Oryzias latipes: one gene and its partner. Each later gene encodes a partner of the first gene's protein in a complex. Links are inferred from orthologs where the notes say so. Each region holds a gene or a part of one and is shown in the gene's direction. Other genes may lie near its edges. The genes, in order: phf2 and vrk1.

Region 1 (10,491 bases):
CTGAGATTGTTTTGTTTCCCTTCTGTACACTGAAACAAAAAACGTTTTGTATCTCAATTGTCTGATTTCTTGGCTTGTTTCATAGACGACATGTTCTTGTTAGTCAGGTAGGTGAGGCACTTGTTTTTGTAATATTGACTACTTTGTTCCTTGACTCACCTAGGGTCATGACAGAAAGAAAGGTCCCAAATACAAGCGGCTGAAATGAGCTTCCTCCGTAGGGTGGCTGGACGCTCCCTTAGAGATCGGGGGAGAAGCTCTGTCACCCGCAGAGAGTTTGGAGTAGAGCCGCCTCGGGGAGCCCCCAGAGGAGCTGGAGAAGGTGGCCGGGGTGAGGGAAGTCTGGGCATCTTTGCTTAGACTGCTGCCCCCATGAGCTGGTACCGGATAAGCGGAAGAAGACTGATGGATGGATGAGTACTTTAGTGAAGTGGGACAGTTGTTTTTCTTTGGTTCACTTCAGCTGTTAGAAGTATCAAAGCAGGAGTACTCACATTTAAAAAACAAACATGTGAATTAAAGTTTTAGAAATGTTTTCTGGCTCTCCCACAAGCGTAAAGCTCCTCTCAACCTCTACCTAATATAACCAGTAAAACGAAAATGGTGAGTAATATTTGAGCTATCCAGTCTGGAGCCAGATGACGGCTCAGACGAGGGAAACGATCTGGATCTAGTCGTCTTGGATGCATCAGAATGAAGAGGACCAGGGAGCTTGTGGCTCACAGTTCTACGTCACCGCTACAAGCTTTTTCCAAAGGCATTTTTGTCTGTGCTCCTAATTCACAGTGATTTGAATAAAGAAATACTCAAAATGCATTTTTAAGCTTAATTTTTCTTTATAAATGAAAGATGCCACAAGAACATAGGAAAAAGACAAATTTCATTGGAGTGCATCTTCAAAGAAGAAAATCTCAGAAGCGTGTCTTTCAGATGACATCTATAATCTGGGTTCTGGTAGGAGAAATCTTTGTGTCTCAGCCACTTTCAACTGTTGTGAATGAAACTCCTTTTCCTCATAACTTCCTTCATAAAAGTGTTTATCAAAAAATTACAAAAAAAACATACTATCAGCATTTGTAACCTTTATCACACCATCAACCCCAACCTTATATGAACACACACTTTCTTGAAATAAAAAAGTAATTAAAAAAATGAAATAGAAATTAGAAAAACAATAAAACAGAATAAAAAATTAGAAGGTGAAATACAAATATTTTAATCGGTTTAATTTGAAAAGTTCTATTGAAAATAGAAACTTAACCAGAGATAGTTTTTGTTTCAATATAGAAGGGAATTTTTTTTGGAGGAAGTAGAACAGATACTTTTAACTTACTTGGGACTAACTGGCTAATCAAAAGATGAATAATAGATTTGTAAACATTCATCATACAGGTTCATGCACCCCCAGTGGCTACAGGGACAAAGATCTGAGGCTGTTGGCAACCTCTCCAATCATTTTCCTTCAAGTGGTGGTTATACAGTAGAGGGTTGTACCCATTAATCACAAAGCAGAATTACTACAACTACTGCAATCTTAATTGACAATATATTCACAAATGTTCTGGAGAATAATATAAATAGTGGTCTAGTTATAAGTGACATCAGTGACCATCTACCTGTATTTGCAACTTTTGATTACAAAATGCCACCAAAGAAACTGGTTCAGAATAACAGATCTATAAGAACCAGGACTGAAGAAGTAGTAAATGCCTTTGAAAATGATCTGCTAAAACAACAATGGAATAGAGTTTATGTTGATGATGTAAATTCTGCATACGGTTCACCTCTCATTTGTTTTTTATATGATCAACATTGTCCAAAGGTTTTATGTAGAAGCAAACATAATACTCATAAAAAACCTGGATGACAAGGGGCTTACAGAATGCCTGCAAAAAGAAAAATTAACTACATACACATTTTTTTCAAATGTAGATCAGACTTCTGAAAAAAAAAATTAAAATGTAAAAAGAAATTACTGACATTTTGAGAAAAACAAAAAAACGATTATCATAAAATTTTAGTTGAAATTAAAAATAATACTAATGCCACATGGGATATTTTCAACAGGGTAATGGGAAAAAAGACAGGATCAGTAAACTTTCTAAATTATTTTACAAAAGTTAACAGAGATACAGTATATAAAATCTAGATGCAGTTGTTAATTAATTTAATTCATTCTTCATAAATATTGGATCTAATTTAGCAAATGAAATGACAAAAAAAATGAAAAATGTGAATGACAATCAAAAAGTAGAGAACAAGGTGATGCAATCAATGTTTCTATCTACGGTGGATGAAAAAGTGATACTATATATGGTACAAAAATTGAAAACAAGACATCAATTGATAGTTATGGCACTTACATGAAAACTACCAAAATGACCATAGATTGTTAAATCAGACCTTTATGTTATGTTTTAAATCTGTCATTAAAACAGGTATCATTCCTGATGATATGGAAACTGCTTTTCAAATCAGGTGACAAACATTGTTTCAGTCATTAGTCATTACTTTCACAGTTGTCTAAAATAAGAGAAAAATTGTTTGCATTTTAGCTATTATTTCACTTCTACACCACAAACTTGGACCTCATTTAAACAAAATGAAATAAAAAAGGAATCAATATTACTTCGTTATAAGATACAGCCAGCTACTATTTTGGTTTGTTATTAATTACATGTTTGCATACTTATGAATATATTTTTTTAAATTACCAATAATTTGCAGGTTTATTGCTCAGTTTGTGGTGGAAAAAATATGCTCTAAAATGGAAACAGAAACATGTTTTTTATCTATCTATCTATCTATCTATCTATCTATCTATCTATCTATCTATCTATCTATCTATCTATCTATCTATCTATCTATCTATCTATCAATCTATCTATCTATCTATCTATCTATCTATCTATCTATCTATCTATCTATCTATCTATCTATCTATCTATCTATCTATCTATCTATCTATCTATCTATCTACAGTATTTATCTACATCTTTTTTTATTTTTTTTCACGTTTGATTATGTCATTTTGTTCAATCCCTTCAAATGTATATATTTAGTTGTTTATTTTTATTTCTTTTTACTTCTTCTTCTTTTTCATCTTTACATATTTTATCTATTTTTTGAAAGAGAAAAAAAAAAAAAAAAAAAAAAACACTGAGATGTGTGTATTGCTCATGGGTCCCGTGGCTGGTTGCTGGGATTTTAACCTCCCCTCAGTCTGACGTAACTTTGCTTTTTGTTTATTTCTGTCTTTGCAGAGCCAGTCTGCTCATTCATCCCCCTACTATGAGCGCCGCGGAGTCGCGCAGTCAGTCACCAGGGGGCATGCACATAGTAATAATAATAATAACGATGCATTTCAGGAAAAGCTGCTGAGGCGGGCTTGTTATCGTTTGGACCGCTCCGCACGAACGCTCCCGCGGCCGCGGTGCGATGGCGCGGCGCGCATAGCTCCATGTGTCCGGCGGGACTGCCCCTGGCTTTTTTTCTGGGGAAGATCATATTGGATCATATTGTTTGCAGGACGTTGTTCCTCCTGCAGCCCCTCCAGTCTATCCCGACGTAGTTGTGAATTGAACATGGCGACTGTACCAGTATATTGCATCTGCAGATTACCTTACGACGTGACCCAGTTCATGATCGAGTGCGATGCCTGCAAGGACTGGTTCCACGGCAGGTAAGAGCGGATCGCCGCGCGAGTCTGTTTTCTGTATCTGTTTGCTTTTATGGAAACAAACAAAAATGGCGAGCAGTCGGCTGCGTTTGACAGCTTTGTGGCTCTCAGTCGCCCGTCTGCATCTGAGGAGAGAGGCCGCTCGGAGAAGAAGAAGGCGGAGTTAAATATAGCCGACCGGGGTTGTGACATTTTTTGGCGAATAACTCAACACCGATCCGTCGGATTAGAAATGTCTGCGTTTATTGTCGTGATTTTGTGATGGGCTTGAAGCCGTATCTGCCCCCTAACAGCCGTTTGGGACCCCGGAGCAGCCCCGAGCTGGAGCCAGCCTTCCCCCGGTCCGGAGCAGACGGCAGCGGGGAAGCCTCGGCACTGTCGCCGCTCATTTCTTTCTCACTTCCAGGCTTCTTAGCTGCCCCCACGCCCGCTTTCCCCCCCAACAATGCCCCTGAATGTGGGCACACATGAGTCCGTCACACGGTTCTCACGGCTGACTCGTTCAGAGGGGCTGGAAATCACGACTCTAGCGAGCCCCGGACAGCCTTCCTGCCGGGCAGCAGCTATGGCTGACAAAGCCCGTGTTGGGAAAGGTTTCTGCGAGCGGAAAAGCAAAAATAAAAAAAGCATATCTAACTGCTTTGATGGATCTTTGAACTACACTTGGTTTGCTGGCTGCCCTGCCGCACGGCACAGGCGCGTGCCCCCCACCGGTCATCACTTTTCCCGTCCAACGAGCCCTGCGAGGATCGCTCCGATCCTCCGTTTCCACACGCCAACATTTGCTCGCCTTTGTCTCTCCCACCCTCACACTCCTTCATGTTCACACTCGACGCTTCTTTGGACCCTATAAAGTCATTCGGCGGCGTTCGGGCCGACTTTATATAAAAAACAATCGTTTATTATAAGCATTTTTAGTGAAGAAGTCCTTGAGAGCAATGGAGAGTATTTACGCGCCTGAACGTTAACCCTTTCGTCTTCCTCCGCTGCAGCCTGATCACAGCAGCAGCCCGGGGATGAGCGCTGACCCTCCACGCACAAACCCACTCAAGATGACTGACTGTCAGGTTCACTCAGTCCACTTGAGTCACAGACGAAGACCAGAAACAAACAAGGACTGAGAAAACGTTCATATTTTTTAAGCAGAGAAACTGCAGTTTAGTTTTTTGAACCTCCAAGCACGAAAAACATCCATCCGAACTGAAGGAAACCACAAAAAACAAAACATAAAAGCAATCAGTGTTTGAGCAAAACATCTCGTAAAGTAGTGCTTTGATGAAAATGTGTGTGTTTTGGGTGTTTTTAACGTGTAAAGGTGTCATGGAGGACATATTTAAAGAAAACTAAACTTAAATTTGCCTTTCTAGGTATGTCTGTAAACAAATCATTGTGAATCAGAAGCAGATGTAATAAATCCAAAAGAGTTTCTAGCAGTGATGTAGATGCTACAGTCGTAGGCTACAAGCCCCCTGCTCCGCTCTATTCAAATGCATTGCTTGAAGACAAATAGATCCATATACGTCTTTGTTTTTCTTGACAGCGCTGGTATCTCACTCAAAACTGTACTATTGGACAGCTCCGATATTGCTCTGCTGATTTGTTGCATTGGTAATGTTAGGTTGGGGTTGTGAGGGGCTCTCAGGGAGAGAGAGTGTAAACAAAGGGTTGACGGGAAATGCGTGGAGGCTTACTTCCTGCCGATAGTCCCGCCCACACCTCAGAGTCATTTTCTGTTGAACTCCTGCTGCTCTGCATTAAAGATGCTCTAGAAAATGACACAAGTTTTTTTCTTTTTGGCTAAAAATGGCATAATCATAATTAAAAGACCTCCAGGAATGCTTTTACAAGAGATGACTGGAGTTGGACTTAAGGCAGAGAAACTATAGTTTACAAGAAGAAAATACCAATCTGAAGGAAATCACAGAAACAATCAGTGTTTGAGCTCAACGCCTGGTAAAGTAGTGCAATTAAAAAGTGTGCTTGGTAGATTACTTCTTTATTGGAACAATATTTATTTGAGGTAAAACCTGATATTTTTTTCATTTACAAATGCCGCCACATTTGTGAGCAAAAGACACGTTTGAGGGATGAGCTGCAGAGACAGATCTGACTCTTCTTTGAATTCCTGAACTCCAAAGACTTGTTGACAACCATACACCTTTTCAAAACAGGAAGCTCAGTAGCATGTGAAAGAAACAGTTGCAGCTTCCCTCCTCCTTTTCATGCTGGTCACCAGCCTGCCTACATTCTGCTGTGGGATGACGTCCCATTCTCTAATCAGCATTTGTCAGGAGGCAGCCAGCATGGTTTTTTTGGACACAGCGACTCAAACATGACTCCCCGAACCCACAAATGTTCAGCAGGGCTGAGGGCAGGACTGCTCACTCTCAAGCTCTGGAAGCAGCCTCTGATAGAACCTCATTTGCTGAAGCAAGCATTTTGTTTGGGGGATAATTTTGGTTGGAGATTAAAAATATCAGATTTCCGCAATCTCATCTCTGTGTGTTAAGTGCACTGATATTAGCCTTAATAATGACAAGCTTAGTTTTTACGATCAAGAAGACTCAAATCATCACTCCACAAGTGCAACATTCAGATTTTTAACCCGACAACCAAAGACAGAATCTGGAATATTTGCTGAACACAAGTGTATTTCTGAATGTCCAGGTTTCTAGTGCACCTCCAATATGAACATGCATGATGCTGAAAATCATCAATAGCAGCTTCCTGGCAGCCCAGAGAGACTGGCTGTTTGTATGGGAACTGATGATAAAAAAACAACTGCCTATGTGCTAAATGATGACTGGGTGTGGAAATGTTTATCTGTTGCTCAGTGGCTGTTCATTAGTTGTTGTTTTTTTTCCGTGGGACAACCACATCACAGTCCTCACTGTCATCCCTGTTGTGAGGAAGCAGAAACCGCCACGAAGCAGAAATGAACCGACCTAAGACGACAATAGTTTGGAAACAGACACCAACACATCACTGCAACAGGAATAATGCTCACAGGATATCGGATTAGCATCTGATGTTAAGGATGTGGGGGCTCCAGGTGCTTAAAGCAGCAGAAACAAAATTAGGGCTCTCTCAAACCAGGCAATCGTTAAGCATGCTAACCTCAAAGTATGATGTATTTAGCTAAAGTGATTCAATGATCAGGCACGACTTGAAGAATATGTGCAGCAGAGGTCTGCCTGCAGAGGTGGGCCAGAGCACGGCACTGTTGACTCTAGTGTGGTACAAGTCTGGCCTGTTTGCTAAGAGTGCTTACATTTTGCCAACCTATGACAGGTGTCTGTAATAATGTGGGACAGTGGGTCAACTTCTCAAACCAGTTAGCTATGAAATCACAATGGGAAACAAACGCATCACAAACAAAAATGTGTTTTTTGCTCTTGAAGACTGCTTTGTGCACCCCAAAAACCTTCTTCTCAATTATTGGTGAATATTATAACAATTGAAGCCCCACTACAATCATCTTTTGATCTATTTTAAAAGCGTTCTTTTATGATTATGCTGTTTTTAGGTAAAATCAAAATTCTGTGTCCCATCCTCACCTAGAGTAGCCAAACATTCACAACGAAGAACTAAAGAAGAAAAAGACAAAATAAAAATGAGATAAAATAGACTAATTTGTGGATGATTTATTTAATAAATTCATTTTTTTTAAATGCATATATTTTAACATCCGTAATCTAAACTTTTAAAAGAACATCATAGCTTTTTTGTATTTTTAGTAGGCTTCTTGGATAACATTTTTTATTTGATAAAACCATTTGTCTTGGTCTCTGTTACAATATCATGGAGAGTCTCCAACACTTTTTTGACTCCAGGCTCAAGAAAACTTGGGTTCTGCAGCGGATTAATGATCTGATAAATGAGCTGATCAAATGAAGATTCATTGAGAGCAAAAGTTGGGCCTTAAATTTAAGTTTCAGACTCATAATATGCAGCAGAAACTTGCTTCTAACGTCAACTAAAATGATCAAAAACATGAGAAAAAAAAGAATCAAATTCATCACAAGATACAAGAAACTCCAGAACAGTTGTTACTGGGGTTTGGTATCAGACGTCACTCAACTTGTTATTCAATTTTTGGAGCAAATACTTTTTCAAAAAAGATTACACAAAGGTTTGGAAATGCAGTCTTAATGAGTCAAACCATGAACATTTTTCAGATTACAACAGACATTATCCACTCAAATAAGATTACATTTGTGCCAAATTATGAAAACCCATAAAGCATTGAGGAAAATCCTAACCAGTACTGAGATAAACAGATGCCGGTTGAGCTTTTTGGTAGCATAAATGATGTGTTTTGTAAAAAGAACTTTCAGAGATAGAGTTAGCATTGATTAATTATAAAGAGAAGGGTCCCAAAATAGAGCTCTGGGGAGCACCATTGGTTAGAGCAGCAATAATTGACAATTCTTTTGATAATGGAGTCACTAAACAAGACTCTTTGAGAAAATGATTATTTAATTATATTTTCACGGGGGATTGAATGAGGCAAGATGAAAGGGAAGAGTGTGACATTTTGGTTATGAGAATGTAAATTTGCTTAGACTAAACTGTTTAGCAAATGCCTACAACTGCTTTATTCACAAGGTGGGATAACAGCATAAGGAAAAAGTATTATAAACATATGAAGAACAAATACACTAGTTTTTGATTCAATAGCTGTTGGTGAATGTTGTCAGCTTATTTTGCAAAAAAGAAAAAAGTCCATAAAAGTGTTACAAGGTTCACTTTAATCCATGTGGGTGGAACATGTGTCCGGAGGTAGTGGGATGCTGCTCAGTATGGAATACAAAGCTTGCATGTTCTCTTTAGACTCAATTCAAGTTGTATGAGACTGTAATAATGCAGGCTGTGACACAGCCGGCACGGTCATAGAAGAAAACAAAGAAGTTTTGGCAGAATTCTTCCAACACTTTTTGAAATTACGTCTTCCTGCCCTTTGCCCCTGAGACTTACAAGGTCCCAAATGTTGTTACTTCATCAATGATGTTGTTTTGCAATGTGTTTAGTCTTGAATTTGACTAAATGATCTGATGTTCACAGTTGTGGAAAACTGTTTGATAGTCAAAGAAATGCATTAGTTAAAGATGCAAAAGTTATTCTTTAAAAAAATATTTAACAGAATACAAATGAAAAACAAAAGAGCTTGATGTGTTCATATATAAGGTTTCTTGTTCAGGTTTATGAATGCCAAATATAAACCTTTTAATTAATGTTTTGTATGAAAATGTTTTTATTCTGTTAAATTAAACTATAATATATAACAAGAATCTGAACAGTCTTGTCATTTGACCTTAACAACCTCTGCTGGTATGTCATGTAACTCGATTTAAACTGTTGTTTTAAGATGCAGATTGTCCCGCAGAATCATTTCAGAGTAGGTCAAGCTGTGCTGAATGGCACTCAGGATAACAAAAACTGCATCATCAGCAAATGTAAACATGTAAACCCAATGTAAATGTAAATCCAATCACCAAACAAACTTCAACATGACCCAAAAAAAAACAATAAAACCTAAACATGACCAAGGAAGATATTTTTTGTCCCTCCTGTCTTTCCGGATCCCATAGTGAAGTTCCATTAATTATTAAAATGATACCTGATTCTGTTTTGGCTTTAAACTCAGTATTCTACGTTTTTTTGTGACTCTTTTAGAGTGTACTTTTTCTAGAGCATAAAAAACACTGTTTTAGTGTTTCATTTGTTTGTGTGTCAATGATGAGACACTGTGTAAAACAAGAAAAACATTAAGAGGTGTTGTAGTGCCCGAGTAACGTTTTCATATACATACCGGTAAATGTTTAATCAGTGTCTGAAGATTTATATTTCTTTGGAGTCCAGCTCAGAACAAATGCGTCTCAACTGTTTGAAGTGTTTTGGTGCTGTCTTCCATCCATCTGTAACACTGAGGACACATTATCCAATGGTGTAACTAATCTAGATAGAATGTATTTTCAAACCACATGGACCTTTTCTGTGAGTTGTGAAAGAGTTGATGAGTGTGGAGAAGCATATTCTCCAATAGTGGATTGTCAGGCTAACTCTTTTCCACATTGGGCGACAGTGGCTCAGGTGGTTGAGCGGGTCGTCCAATGATCAAAGGGTTGGCGGTTCAATCCCCGCTCCCACCAGCCAAAATGTCATTGTGTCCTTGGGCAAGACACTTCAACCTCCCTGCCTCCAGTGTGGCTCCACTGGTGTGTGAATGTGCATGAATGGTCCCGGTGATGGTCAGAGGGGCCGTAGGTGTGAAATGGCAGCCACGCCTCTGTCAGTCTGCCCCAGGGCAGCTGTGGCTACAACCGTAGCTTACCATCACCAAGTATGAATGAGAAGTGAATGAATTATGGACATAATGTAAGCGCTTTGGGTGTCTTGAAAAGCGCAGATAAATCCAATCCATTATTATTATTATTATTATTATTATTGTAAACTGCTGCTTCTCTCCATTCAGCTGTGTTGGGGTGGATGAAGACGATGCTCCTGACATTGACATCTATCACTGTCCAAACTGTGAAAAGACCCACGGCAAGTCCACCTGTAAGTACCTCCTAGTGGCACACCGGTTGAAGTGTGCTGCTGCACTTGCAACTTTTCTGTTGAACTCAGACCTTCATAAGAGTTTCTTGGCCTCTCAGTGAAAAAGAAGAAGAACTGGAGTAAACATGACACAGGGCAGAGCACAGACATCAAAGCTGTTCAAAATGGCAGTCAGGTCTTCATCAAGGAGCTCCGAAGTAGAACCTTCCCCAGGTAAGGTCAACACCCCCTCAATGGATGAGTTGCCACCA
Region 2 (10,561 bases), on another chromosome or scaffold:
GATGAGGTGAGACGCAGACGTTTTGTATGGATTTTCCTTTTGTTTGACCCCCCCCCCCCCCCCCCCCCCCACATCCTGTAAACTGCGCAAGGAGCCAGTTAGTGCTGCCTATAAGTGATAAGTGCGCACTCCTTGCGTGCAGCCTGGTTGTTAGAAATTACGAAATTGAGCAATCAGAGTGTAGTTTGTGTGGGCATCCCATACGGGCGTCCCACAGGCGCTGACGTTTCACCTGCACACCCGTGCTGCATTCTGCAATCAGTAAGTACCCAGTACGCTCACCTCACTGACGACCACAGGACACCGAACAACAGCATCCCCCGTACCTCATGAGTGCATGTTCAAAAACTTAATGATGCATCTAGCAGGTGGATGGCTCGGTGGGCTGGGTGTGGGATTCAGGTTATCTGGGTCCACTTCCCAGGCCGTGCAATGAGCCAAAAATCCAGTTTGGACGCTTTACGCCGTTACCTATCTGGGTCTCCCTGTGCCTTGAAAATACCGGGTTGCGTCAGGAAGGGCTTACAATGTGAAAACTCTGCCAAACCACCTCAGTGAAAGCAGATTTGAAGCCTGACGGGATGTTTCGAAAGGTGAACAACACCAACTTAATGAAGTTTAAGGTGGCCGTATAAAAGGAACCGCAAGACACCTGCGCCCCCCCCAATCTGAATTCCCATCAGCAGTTCCAAGAAAAAAGATACTTGGACGATCAGCCAAACATCTCCCAGATCAACATTTAATGAAGAACAGAATCTTGTCAGAACATGATCAAATGACTGGGAATCTTTACCTGAAAATGTAAGTTTTTTTAGCAAGACATGTACGAGTTTGTTCATTAAAAAAAGACAAAAAAAAAACATTTATATGTGGGTAATTTGGAAAATCAATGATAAGAAGGAGAACACTTTTTAAAAAATAGTTTTTTCCTGAAAAAAAGCGTCTATAAAGTTTTGCAAGATTAGATGCAAAGAAATTGCATTCCTAAATCATTACTAATAAGAAAAAAAAATCAACAACTGTTCTACAACAATGCCTGGTGGTTTTTCTACAAGTGTTTCTCTCATCCAACCATTTTCCTCTGTGTTTTAGGAAGTCCCGCTGTTTCCGCAGGAAGCTGCTTGCTTCCTCCACAGAATATTTAGGGGTTTTCTCATAATTCTGCTCTTAAAGTCATTGTAGAACCAATGACGCTACGCCTCACAAAAACTGTAAATGGATTTTCTTACTGGTAGGAAAACGTCGGAGGTAAATTGTTTCCAGTTAACCTGCTCTATAGCCTTTTGTTTGGAGGGAGGACGCCTCAGTGAGCCTGTCTGAAGCAGCTCCAGCCACATGAGTGAAATGAAGTCCACACGCTCTCAGATCAGCAGCAGACTGAGTCAGGCCGTGCGTGCTCACACGTGTCGCTTGGACTGATTCATGGAGGCGCCTTTGTTTTAATAAAGCCCGGCTTTGCAGCGGGCGCCGACAGCTTCAGCTCCTGCACGGCTGTAGCGTTCATATCGATCCGTGCTGCCGAGCTGTAATGTCATTGCACGGAGCGTTTATTTTATGAGCAGAGTTGCTGATGCCGCTCAAAAACAGAGTTACAAACACTTCTCAAAGCAATAATTCACTCTGCAGCTTTTATCTGTCATGGAATGTGAATGTCCAGCTTTTTCAGGTCAAACTCATGTTTACTAAATTTACACAAAACAGTGAGAATTATTTAAAAAAAAAACTGTCCTGCTGGTGAGTTAGCTTTTAAATGTCATTTTTATTGGTAACATGAACTTTTTCTTGATGTCTCTTTCATATACTATGAAAAGGGTTTGAGCTATTGCATTTAGTACAAAATCTTTTTAATCTTAATAAGCTTTTTGCCTTTATGCTTTCACTTTTTTATGTTCAAATGTTTGCTAGAAATTTTGGGTTTCTTAAATGTAACATGTGATATGCTGAATATTCCACTTACTTCAAACCAACAAGAATTATATGAAACTACAGTTTTTTGGGGGTTTTTGTGGCAAAAATATTACTGGGACTATTTATTAATTAATATTTCACACTAGTTGGTTTGAAGGCATAAGTATGCATTTGTGAACACTATTTGTATTGTGTACATGTTGACATGTGGACATTTTTGCAGCTAACAGGTGTGTTTATAACATTCAAGTGTGTGTGTAGGCAGACCCCGCCCTTTGAGATTTGTATTACATCTGAACCTTACCGTAATGATAAACACCCAGTAGCTTGTTGCTTTATGCTGCTTCATGGTTTTGCACCCCCCCCCTATGATCTCCCTCCTATCCCCCTCTCTCTAACATCCCTCTCTCTTCTTTCCTTCTTTCCTTTTCCGTCCGGTCCAACACAAAATATTTTCAAACATGATTAAAATGAATAAAGTTTGGCCTCAATTACAAAAGGGGTTTATTCAGACATACCTCTGGTTTGTCAGAAGATTCATAACCCCTGTTGTTAAAGTAAAATATGTCCAACACAAGAGGCCTTCAGCTCTCATCTGTTTGCCCAGCTTTTGGACAGGACAAGTTAAAAAAAATATATATATATATATATTGCTGGGACTGCTCCACAAGCCTGTCGGATCAGAGGAAATGAGGTGGGGTTGTACCTGGAGCTGCTGCAGGATCCTCTCTTTGGGTTGGACCTGGTGTTTGCTGCAGCTCTGCTGGTAGGCCTCCAGCACCTCCTCCATAGTGACACAGCGCTCAGCTGAAATATGAACAATCAAGTTTGTCTGATTTTCTGGAGAATCTGCAGTCGCAGAAGTTGCAGGTATGATCAGACTCCAGCTTTTGTGGTTAAACGTCTTACTTGCTCTGTCTCTGTCCTCAACAAAGCTGGACACGATCTGCTCATCAGGAGGAAAGGACACATGTTTTCCACTTTTGCTTATCCTCTTCTGGGGTTTGTTGGCTTCATCTGCATGCTCCTCTTGCTCGCCGCAGCGCGTCATCTCTGCCTTTAAATCTCCGAACAGAAAGTGGTTGTCAGCTAAGCTCAGGCATCATTCTCTCCTCTGTGGAGACATCACTCAACTTCTTCTGATTTGTACTTTGTGGACAAACAGGTAAAGCAGCTCCCTCCACGATGTGGCACCTGGAAAAAAAAAAACAAGACACTGAAGAACCAATATCTTATTCATGAGTTGTGCGCTGGGTTGCAGTTGAAACCTGATATGTTTGTATCAAATGGCACGACTGTGCACATTTACATACCTATTCAAATGCAGCATTTGCAGCAGGAGTCAAAGGTGCACAGGCAGCGAGATGTTTGCTGAAGCAAAGTTTCTCCTGCTTCTTTATGAAGAAACACTACAGGACAAATTCTGAAAACAACAACAGCTCTTTCACTTCAGCCTGCGTGTGAGGAAGGATGACCTTCATCTGTCACTGTCATCCTCATCCATTGTGAATAAAGTCTTTGAATAAAACTTCATAGAAACTAATTCTTTCTTGTGAAAATGTGGTTGTGTTAAAAGTGAAAACCCTGATAGGGTCAGAGATTTAACCATCAAGCTTTTAAAGCTCCTCCTTTTTTGACTTTCTTCATTTTGTTGACACCACAGGAACTTAATCACATTTTCTGATCAAGCAGACTCAACAGATCGGAGTGCACAAACAGCATCATTGCATTTGACACATTATTTTATCTACAAATGGATGATTTGACTGGATTTTTATTATTTTAATATATACAAACACAGGTGCAAAATATAAACAGGTAAATGACTCGGATTTGGCAGCGGTTAGACTTTGGTTGGTGCACAGGCCAGCATGGTGCTCGGCTGTGGTAGAATCTCCAGACCAAACACCCTGTGGATCTAGGTTGGCCCACCTTTGACACTCTGTTGCTAGCATTCAGGTGCCATCTGACTCTTTTCTGAAATAGTTTTGTTGCTTCTTACCGGGAGCGAAACAGACAGGTTGTTGCACATATTTTAGAATTAGCCATCTATTTTTTGAGCAAGTGAGGGATATTCTTATCCTTAAGGCAGGATAATTCCTTATAATTCAACTGATATGGATGCTTAAACCTTACCTGAGGACATCTAAACTCTAATAGACAGACTCACACACATGGGTAATATAAATCTAACTGTGCTGATGACATGACATTGACAACCTTTTTAACTGCATTTTCTATTAAGGATGTGAATGTTAGAGAAGTTCCTGCTTCTAAATCAGGACAAAAGTGAAGTTTTAGCTCTGAGGCAGAGAAAGTCAGTATAGTTGCAAAGTAACTATACTAAGGGACAAAGTCAGGATCTTCAGGGGGACATTTTCCAGGATTTTCCTGGACTTTCATCCAGGATCAGAAAGACAGAGTCACTTTAATTTAGTTGTTTTGTTACTTTTACCATATTAACCTCTGATAGTCCTCAGATCCTCATGTTCAGGCCTCTTTACTGATTCAAGAGTCAGACCCACAGTGAGATCTGTTCAAATACTGTGGGCTCCAATTTATTTACAGTGTGGAGACTTTAAAAAAAAAGACTTGAGACATATAACTTTTAATTTTATCAATATTTAACTGTTCCCATTTTTTATTTTTAGGTTTATGCATTTATACTGTGTATAGAGTCTATTTTCTGAAAAATGACAATAGTAATTGGGTGTTCCTTTTTATTGGTAAATACCGCTTAGTATGTTCCCATCCTCAAAAATAATGCATCTTTTTAAACTTTAATGATTAATTAAAAGTTTTCTTTGTTTGAAATTCATTTCTGTTGTACTCCATTTTTTCCTGCAGTTTGACCATGTTCCTAGGATCTTTCCTATTAAATACTACTTTTAGATTGATGTTTTCAAGAAGGTAGATGGGATTTCTTTTGTTTGTTTGTGGCCACAAAAAAAATTAAAAAAAATTAAACCATATATTTAAAGTAATTCTCAACTATAGTTACTGCTTCTTTTTAAATAAAAAATAACTTTCAGAAACCTTTTTTATGTTTTTAATGCTACGTTCTGCATTTGCAATGTATTAAAAAAAATAATTTTGTTTTAATTTTTTTTTTTAAAGTTTTTTCTACATTTTTATTTTCTAAACAAATATTTATTTGGGGACAGTAACGTTTCATTTTGGGCAATACAGTTTAAAAAAAAATCCCGTATCTCTACTTCCGGTAGTCATTCCACCAATAGACAATCGAGGCTTAGTGACGCAACTTCCTGACCGGCAAGTTTGCGGGAAGTTTGTTCCGTAAACACTTAAGCCCTAAATCAACCGCGATCATTTATATTGCGGTAAGTATGTTTTGTTAACACCTTAAGAATATATATTTAGATGGTAAATCGGGACAGACAGCAAAAAAACGCCGTTATTTTGCGAAATATCGTAACAGTTTGACGGAACAAATCAAAACGAGGCAGTTAGTTAGCTAACCTCAAGCTAACCGGTCATCTAAAAATGCTCGACGCCGTTTGTCCATCAACAACAACTGTGTTTACTGCGTATTACGTTCAGATTGGTGATGCTGATTAGTTATTTGCTGCCTGGAGTTCGTGTTCGTGTTTTTTTTTTGGTAAATATTCCATGGATGGTTCGTGTTTGTTTTCTGGTTTTGTAAATGCGTCACATAAATAAACAAAGTTCCCACTTTATCCAAATAATGGATTTCTGCCATCAGATTTGAGGTTAACTTAAAGCGAGCAGTCTGCTGAAAGCTTCACTGCTGATTTTAAACCGATATATGTTAATAAAGTGGGACTTCTTACGTGTTAAGTTTTAATGAGTCTTCCGTCGAAAGAGCAAACAAATAATAATCTCCGTAATATTAATTCATCTGATTTCCAAATCTCAAAATTGCAATGCTATAATTGTACTTTTCACTTGAATACACATAATGTCTTTCTTTTTCTTTTTTTAAACTATTTTCAAACATGCAAATGACCAAAGTGAAACTATAATTGAAGCTTTAATGAATAAAAAATAAAAAATAAATACAATAATTTTTATTGTGTTGGTTCCAGGTTTTAAAAAATCCGAATTCTAAAATCTTTTTTTTTTGTTACTTTCTTCTCATAATCAAAAAAGGAGTTTCCTAGAAAATGATCCTTTTAATCTGATGAGTCGTATAAAACATAACATCTCAAATGTGTCTAAACATAGATTGTGTATCAAAATCATTGTTTTTGTAGGTTTTTTTTCTTCTGTTGGGTGAATCCTGTTAACCCCTCTGATCGCCCCCCCTCTCCCCCCCATGTCTCAGATGCCCCCTAAAGCCAAAGCGACCGGCAGAGCCAGAGCTCCTGCGAAGAGGAAGCTGGCCGAGGAGTTTCCCCCTGGAGAAGTTCTCACAGACACCGGGAAGAAATCCTGGAAGCTGGGAGCTCCGGTGGGCCAGGGGGGGTTCGGCCTGATTTATCTGGGTGAGAAAAGCTTTGCAGTTAGAGATGAATGTTTGACCCTTGTGACGCGACTGCCAGCATTTCCAGATGTGTTACGCAAACTGCTGTCCATCTCTTTCTTCATCCTCAGCGGATCAGAACTCTGACAAACCTGTTGGTAAAGAAGCGCCGTACGTCATCAAAGTGGTAAGGCTTTACAAGTCTGCTCATCTTTCCTGTCATCATCTCCACTGACTTGTGACTACGGGGGGCAGAACCTTTTCAGGGGCCGCCCCTAAACTCTGGAACCGTCTCCCTTTTTCCGTGAGGTCTGCCAGATCCTCATGAATTTAAATCTTTGTTAAAAGATTTTACATTAGGTTTTAACATCAGAGTGGATGACAATCAGGCCAGCTCTATTAGTGTTTCTATTAACGTGGATTTTACTGTTTTACTTTGGATCTCTGGTAGATGTTAAAGCGGTTTACCAATAAAGATTGATTGATTTGGTGTTTCTGACTTTTTGCAATACTATTCTGGAGCAGGAGAGTGTTTTCATTTTTCTGTGTGAGTTCGCTGTGATCCTGTGACTTCCAGGATCTTACATTCAAATCCAGAGCTGATGTGTCGTTTAAAAAAAACTACATTTTCTGCCACAGGAACCCAGCGAAAACGGGCCGCTGTTCTCCGAGCTGCATTTCTACATGAGAGCCGCCAAGCCCGATCTCAGTAAGTTGCAGCTTCACTCTTCGTCAGTACTCCTCGCCGTCACGGGAACCTCCAATCCGATGCAAACAAATAAAAGAATCAAACTTTCTTAATTAAAGAGAGGATGTTAGAGCGGAGGATAACAGCTGGCCTGAAGGGGGAACTGGGCTCTGGGGGCCACAGCTCTGCATTGAATATAATAACATTCCAAATGTCAATCCCCCCGACAATTAACTGCAGTATTACTAAGAAACCAAAGGCTCATCTTTTATTCATGTATTTGTCCCTGCAGCAGATTAACTGTTGGTCACGCTGGCCAGCGCTAAAAAACAAAAACAAACGTCTGTCTTCACAGTCCAGGATCTGGGCTCTCCAGTCTGTTCTGAGTCTTTGTTTCTTTGCTTGTCTTGCAGTCCAGACCTGGATGAAGACCCAGAAGTTGAAGCATTTGGGGGTTCCCCGTTATTGGGGCTCCGGTCTGCATGAGAAAGGAGGGAAAAGGTAAGACCGGGTTCCCCCGTCTTTGACTCTGGACTTGAGATCGGGAGGGTTTTCTTGTGGAACACACAGCAGAAACCTCCCTCTCTGCCCCTGGCAGGTATCGCTTCATGGTGATTGACAGACTCGGCACAGACCTGCAGAAGAAGTTTGAAGAATGTGGGAAGAGATTCCCCAGAAAACTGGTCCTGCAGCTCGGTCTCCGCCTGGTTGGTTGATGAGGAGAATGGTGTTCTATTAGCTTAAAACACATAGCACTGCATTGTGTCAAAACACAGAGTTTAGGGCTGCAGAAATCTCTGTTGCTTAACTCTAAACACAGATTCTAGAAAACTAAGTTTACTCCGAGCTTATATAATAATGCATCTTTAGTTGACCGTTTACCTCGCCTTTGCTCCTGCTCCTACACCTGGCTGTGGATCCTGCCTCTGGCTCATCTCTGGCTCGTCTCTGCTCTGTACCTGACCGTTTACCTCGTCTCTGCTCCTGCTCCTACACCTGGCTGTGGATCCTGCCTCTGGCTCATCTCTGGCTCGTCTCTGCTCTGTACCTGACCGTTTACCTCGTCTCTGCTCCTGCTCCTACACGTGGCTGTGGTTCCTGTCTCCGGCTCGACTCGCGCCTTTGACTGTCCCCACAACCACGGCTGGATGAAGCTCGTCTGCTGGACTTTTATATATGTAGTTGTAGATTTAGATAAGTTAATTCTTCTCTAAGATTTCTGGTAAATCGCCTGTCCGTCCTGGGGGAGGATCCCTCCTTCATGTGGGCACCCCTGAGGTTTCTTCGTTTTTTCCGGAATCCGGTTTTTTTGGGAGTTTTTCCTTACCGCGAAGGGCGGTCTAAGGGCAGGGATGCCAGTATAGCTTAGTCAGTTTGTTAGTTCATTTTAGTATTTTTCTATTGAACTCTTTGTATTCGTGATCCTTTTGATTTCATGTTTTACTTCGAAGCCCATCGAGACGACTGTTGTTGTGATTTTGGGCTATACAAATAAAATTGAATTGAATTGAATTGAATAGTTGTGGATCTGCCAAAACTTCCAGGTAGGGTTAAAAAACGAGAACAACAAACTTTAAAAACAGCGATTACTTGTATTCTCTTTTTACGTTCACCCAGCTACTCCGGTTTTCCCGGTTAGCCTTGAATGAAGATCTTTTAAAGCATTATGCCAATTGTTTAGCATGTAGAATTAAACATGTAAAACTTTGAAGCAGTTTCCTTCTCTGTGAAGTCTGACGCTGGGAAACCTGAACGAGACTTGAACACGCTACGACAGCTCCAGCTGCAGCTACAGCATCTCTGCTGCAGCTACAACAGCTCCAGCTGCAGCTACGACAGCTCCAGCCGCAGCTACAGCATCTCTGCTGCAGCTACAACAGCTCCAGCTGCAGCTACGACAGCTCCAGCTGCAGCTACGACAGCTCCAGCTGCAGCTACAGCATCTCTGCTGCAGCTACGACAGCTCCAGCTGCAGCTACGACAGCTCCAGCTGCAGCTACGACAGCTCCAGCTGCAGCTACAGCATCTCTGCTGCCATCTAGTGTTTGTTTGTCTATAGCAAGACAATAAACGAGATGTGGTTGAACTCTCCTGTGTGTTTTCAGCTGGACATTTTGGAGTTCATCCACGAGCATGAGTACGTGCACGCCGACGTCAAAGCGTCCAACCTCATGCTGAGCCACAGTGACCCCAACCAGGTCAGTTCATGTGGGGAAACCCCCGGCCTTCAGCTCTGCTGCTGGAAGCCGGGATGGATGAAGGTTTTGGTTGAAGCTCCCTCATTCCGCTTCATTAGACTCTATTCTAACCTGCTGTGTGTGGGTGTAGGTGTGTGTCTAAAGATTAGAAAGCAGCAGAGGTTTTTTTATTTTTGTATTATTTTTAGCAAACACAATTGGAACAGGCGCGGGTATTTAATTTGGAGATTAATAATGGATTGTTTGTGTTGTTTTTAAATGACACTATAAAAATGAGCCCTCAGGATTCTATGCTTAATTGTCCTCTGTTTTGTTTTTTTGTTTCTGTTGATGGACTGTAGCTGTGTCACTTATTTAAGCCAGAAAGAATCTAGACTGAGCAAAGATTTCGAGTCCAAAAAGAACTTGTGGTTCTGGAAGTTGTCCGTTCTTCTCGTTGATCACAGCGGGTTCATCTGGTTTCCCGGTTCTGCTGGCTGTGCAGGTTTATCTGGTAGATTACGGCCTGGCATACAGATACGCTCCTGATGGCGTCCTGAAAGAGTACAAGGAGGATCCCAAGAAATGCCACGATGGAACCATAGAGTTCACCAGCATCGATGCCCACAAAGGAGTCGGTGCGTACGAGTCCGCTCTGAAACTCAGATCCACTTACTGACTGTAATATGATTAAACTCATATCCTGAATGAAACCCAGCCGTGGAAATGAGCGAATCCAATCATTTTAGACACAATAAGATCAGGCCGAGGAGAAAATCTGACCTTTTTGGATGTAAACATCTCCTTTGCCAAAAGCCCAAATATAACTACAATGTGGAAAAAAGAGAGTTTATTTCTATGTTAAAGAAATATAAAACACGAAATGTAAAAACAGGATTGATGCTAAAGTTATACTTTTTGTTGCTGTTTTACATTTTGAGTTAAAACCGATTGTTGAGATTTTCTGGAATCACAGTCAAAGTGTTTTTCTAAACTCAGAAATGAAACAAAGACAGTCAATATTGTTAGTGCAGAAAGTCGAACCGGTTCTTGGAAAGCTCTCATTCACAATGGGCTGCACGATGTGAGGAAAACTCGCGATGTACGACATTAATGATCAACATTGCGATGATGACATAACTTTTGATGCATGTACAAATACCAAAACAACCAAAAACAGAAAATGCAACAATTTAATTTGAATAAGAGTCAAAATACCTTAATTTACACTCCAAATGACCCTCGTCTACATAAGAGGCAAACATCTAACATGAAGGCTCCGTCTGATTGGTCAAACGCATAAATGGATTTATTCAACTCATTAAACACTTCAAGCTGCCATCA

The links.
Region 2: the proteins of phf2 (region 1) and vrk1 are in contact, whole or in part, in a crystal structure (PDB 8F8Y), measured with the Homo sapiens proteins. The link is inferred for Oryzias latipes from reciprocal best matches to the Homo sapiens genes PHF2 and VRK1. Residues at the interface, in NP_005383.3 of Homo sapiens: Tyr7, Tyr14, Val16, Thr17, Arg18, Phe19, Met20, Ile21, Glu22, Trp29, Glu39, Ala42, Ile45, Asp46, Tyr48, Lys64, Tyr145, Ser147, Glu150, Lys175, Val178, Asp179, Tyr182, Ser183, Thr184; in NP_003375.1 of Homo sapiens: Pro2, Arg3, Val4, Lys5, Ala6, Ala7, Gln8.

The regions. Positions count from the first base shown.
Region 1 is NC_019863.2:25,200,396-25,210,886, reverse strand, and holds the start of phf2 (lysine-specific demethylase PHF2), read left to right. Parts: upstream 1-3,448; 5' UTR 3,449-3,584; coding exon 3,585-3,682; exon of another isoform or gene 3,683-4,655; intron 4,656-10,154; coding exon 10,155-10,240; intron 10,241-10,338; coding exon 10,339-10,453; intron 10,454-10,491. UniProt on the Homo sapiens protein: Lysine demethylase that demethylates both histones and non-histone proteins. Enzymatically inactive by itself, and becomes active following phosphorylation by PKA: forms a complex with ARID5B and mediates demethylation of methylated ARID5B.
Region 2 is NC_019880.2:3,855,550-3,866,110, reverse strand, and holds the start of vrk1 (serine/threonine-protein kinase VRK1), read left to right. Parts: upstream 1-5,134; 5' UTR 5,135-5,249; intron 5,250-6,214; coding exon 6,215-6,374; intron 6,375-6,483; coding exon 6,484-6,539; intron 6,540-6,991; coding exon 6,992-7,061; intron 7,062-7,453; coding exon 7,454-7,541; intron 7,542-7,638; coding exon 7,639-7,747; intron 7,748-9,145; coding exon 9,146-9,238; intron 9,239-9,722; coding exon 9,723-9,855; intron 9,856-10,561. UniProt on the Homo sapiens protein: Serine/threonine kinase involved in the regulation of key cellular processes including the cell cycle, nuclear condensation, transcription regulation, and DNA damage response.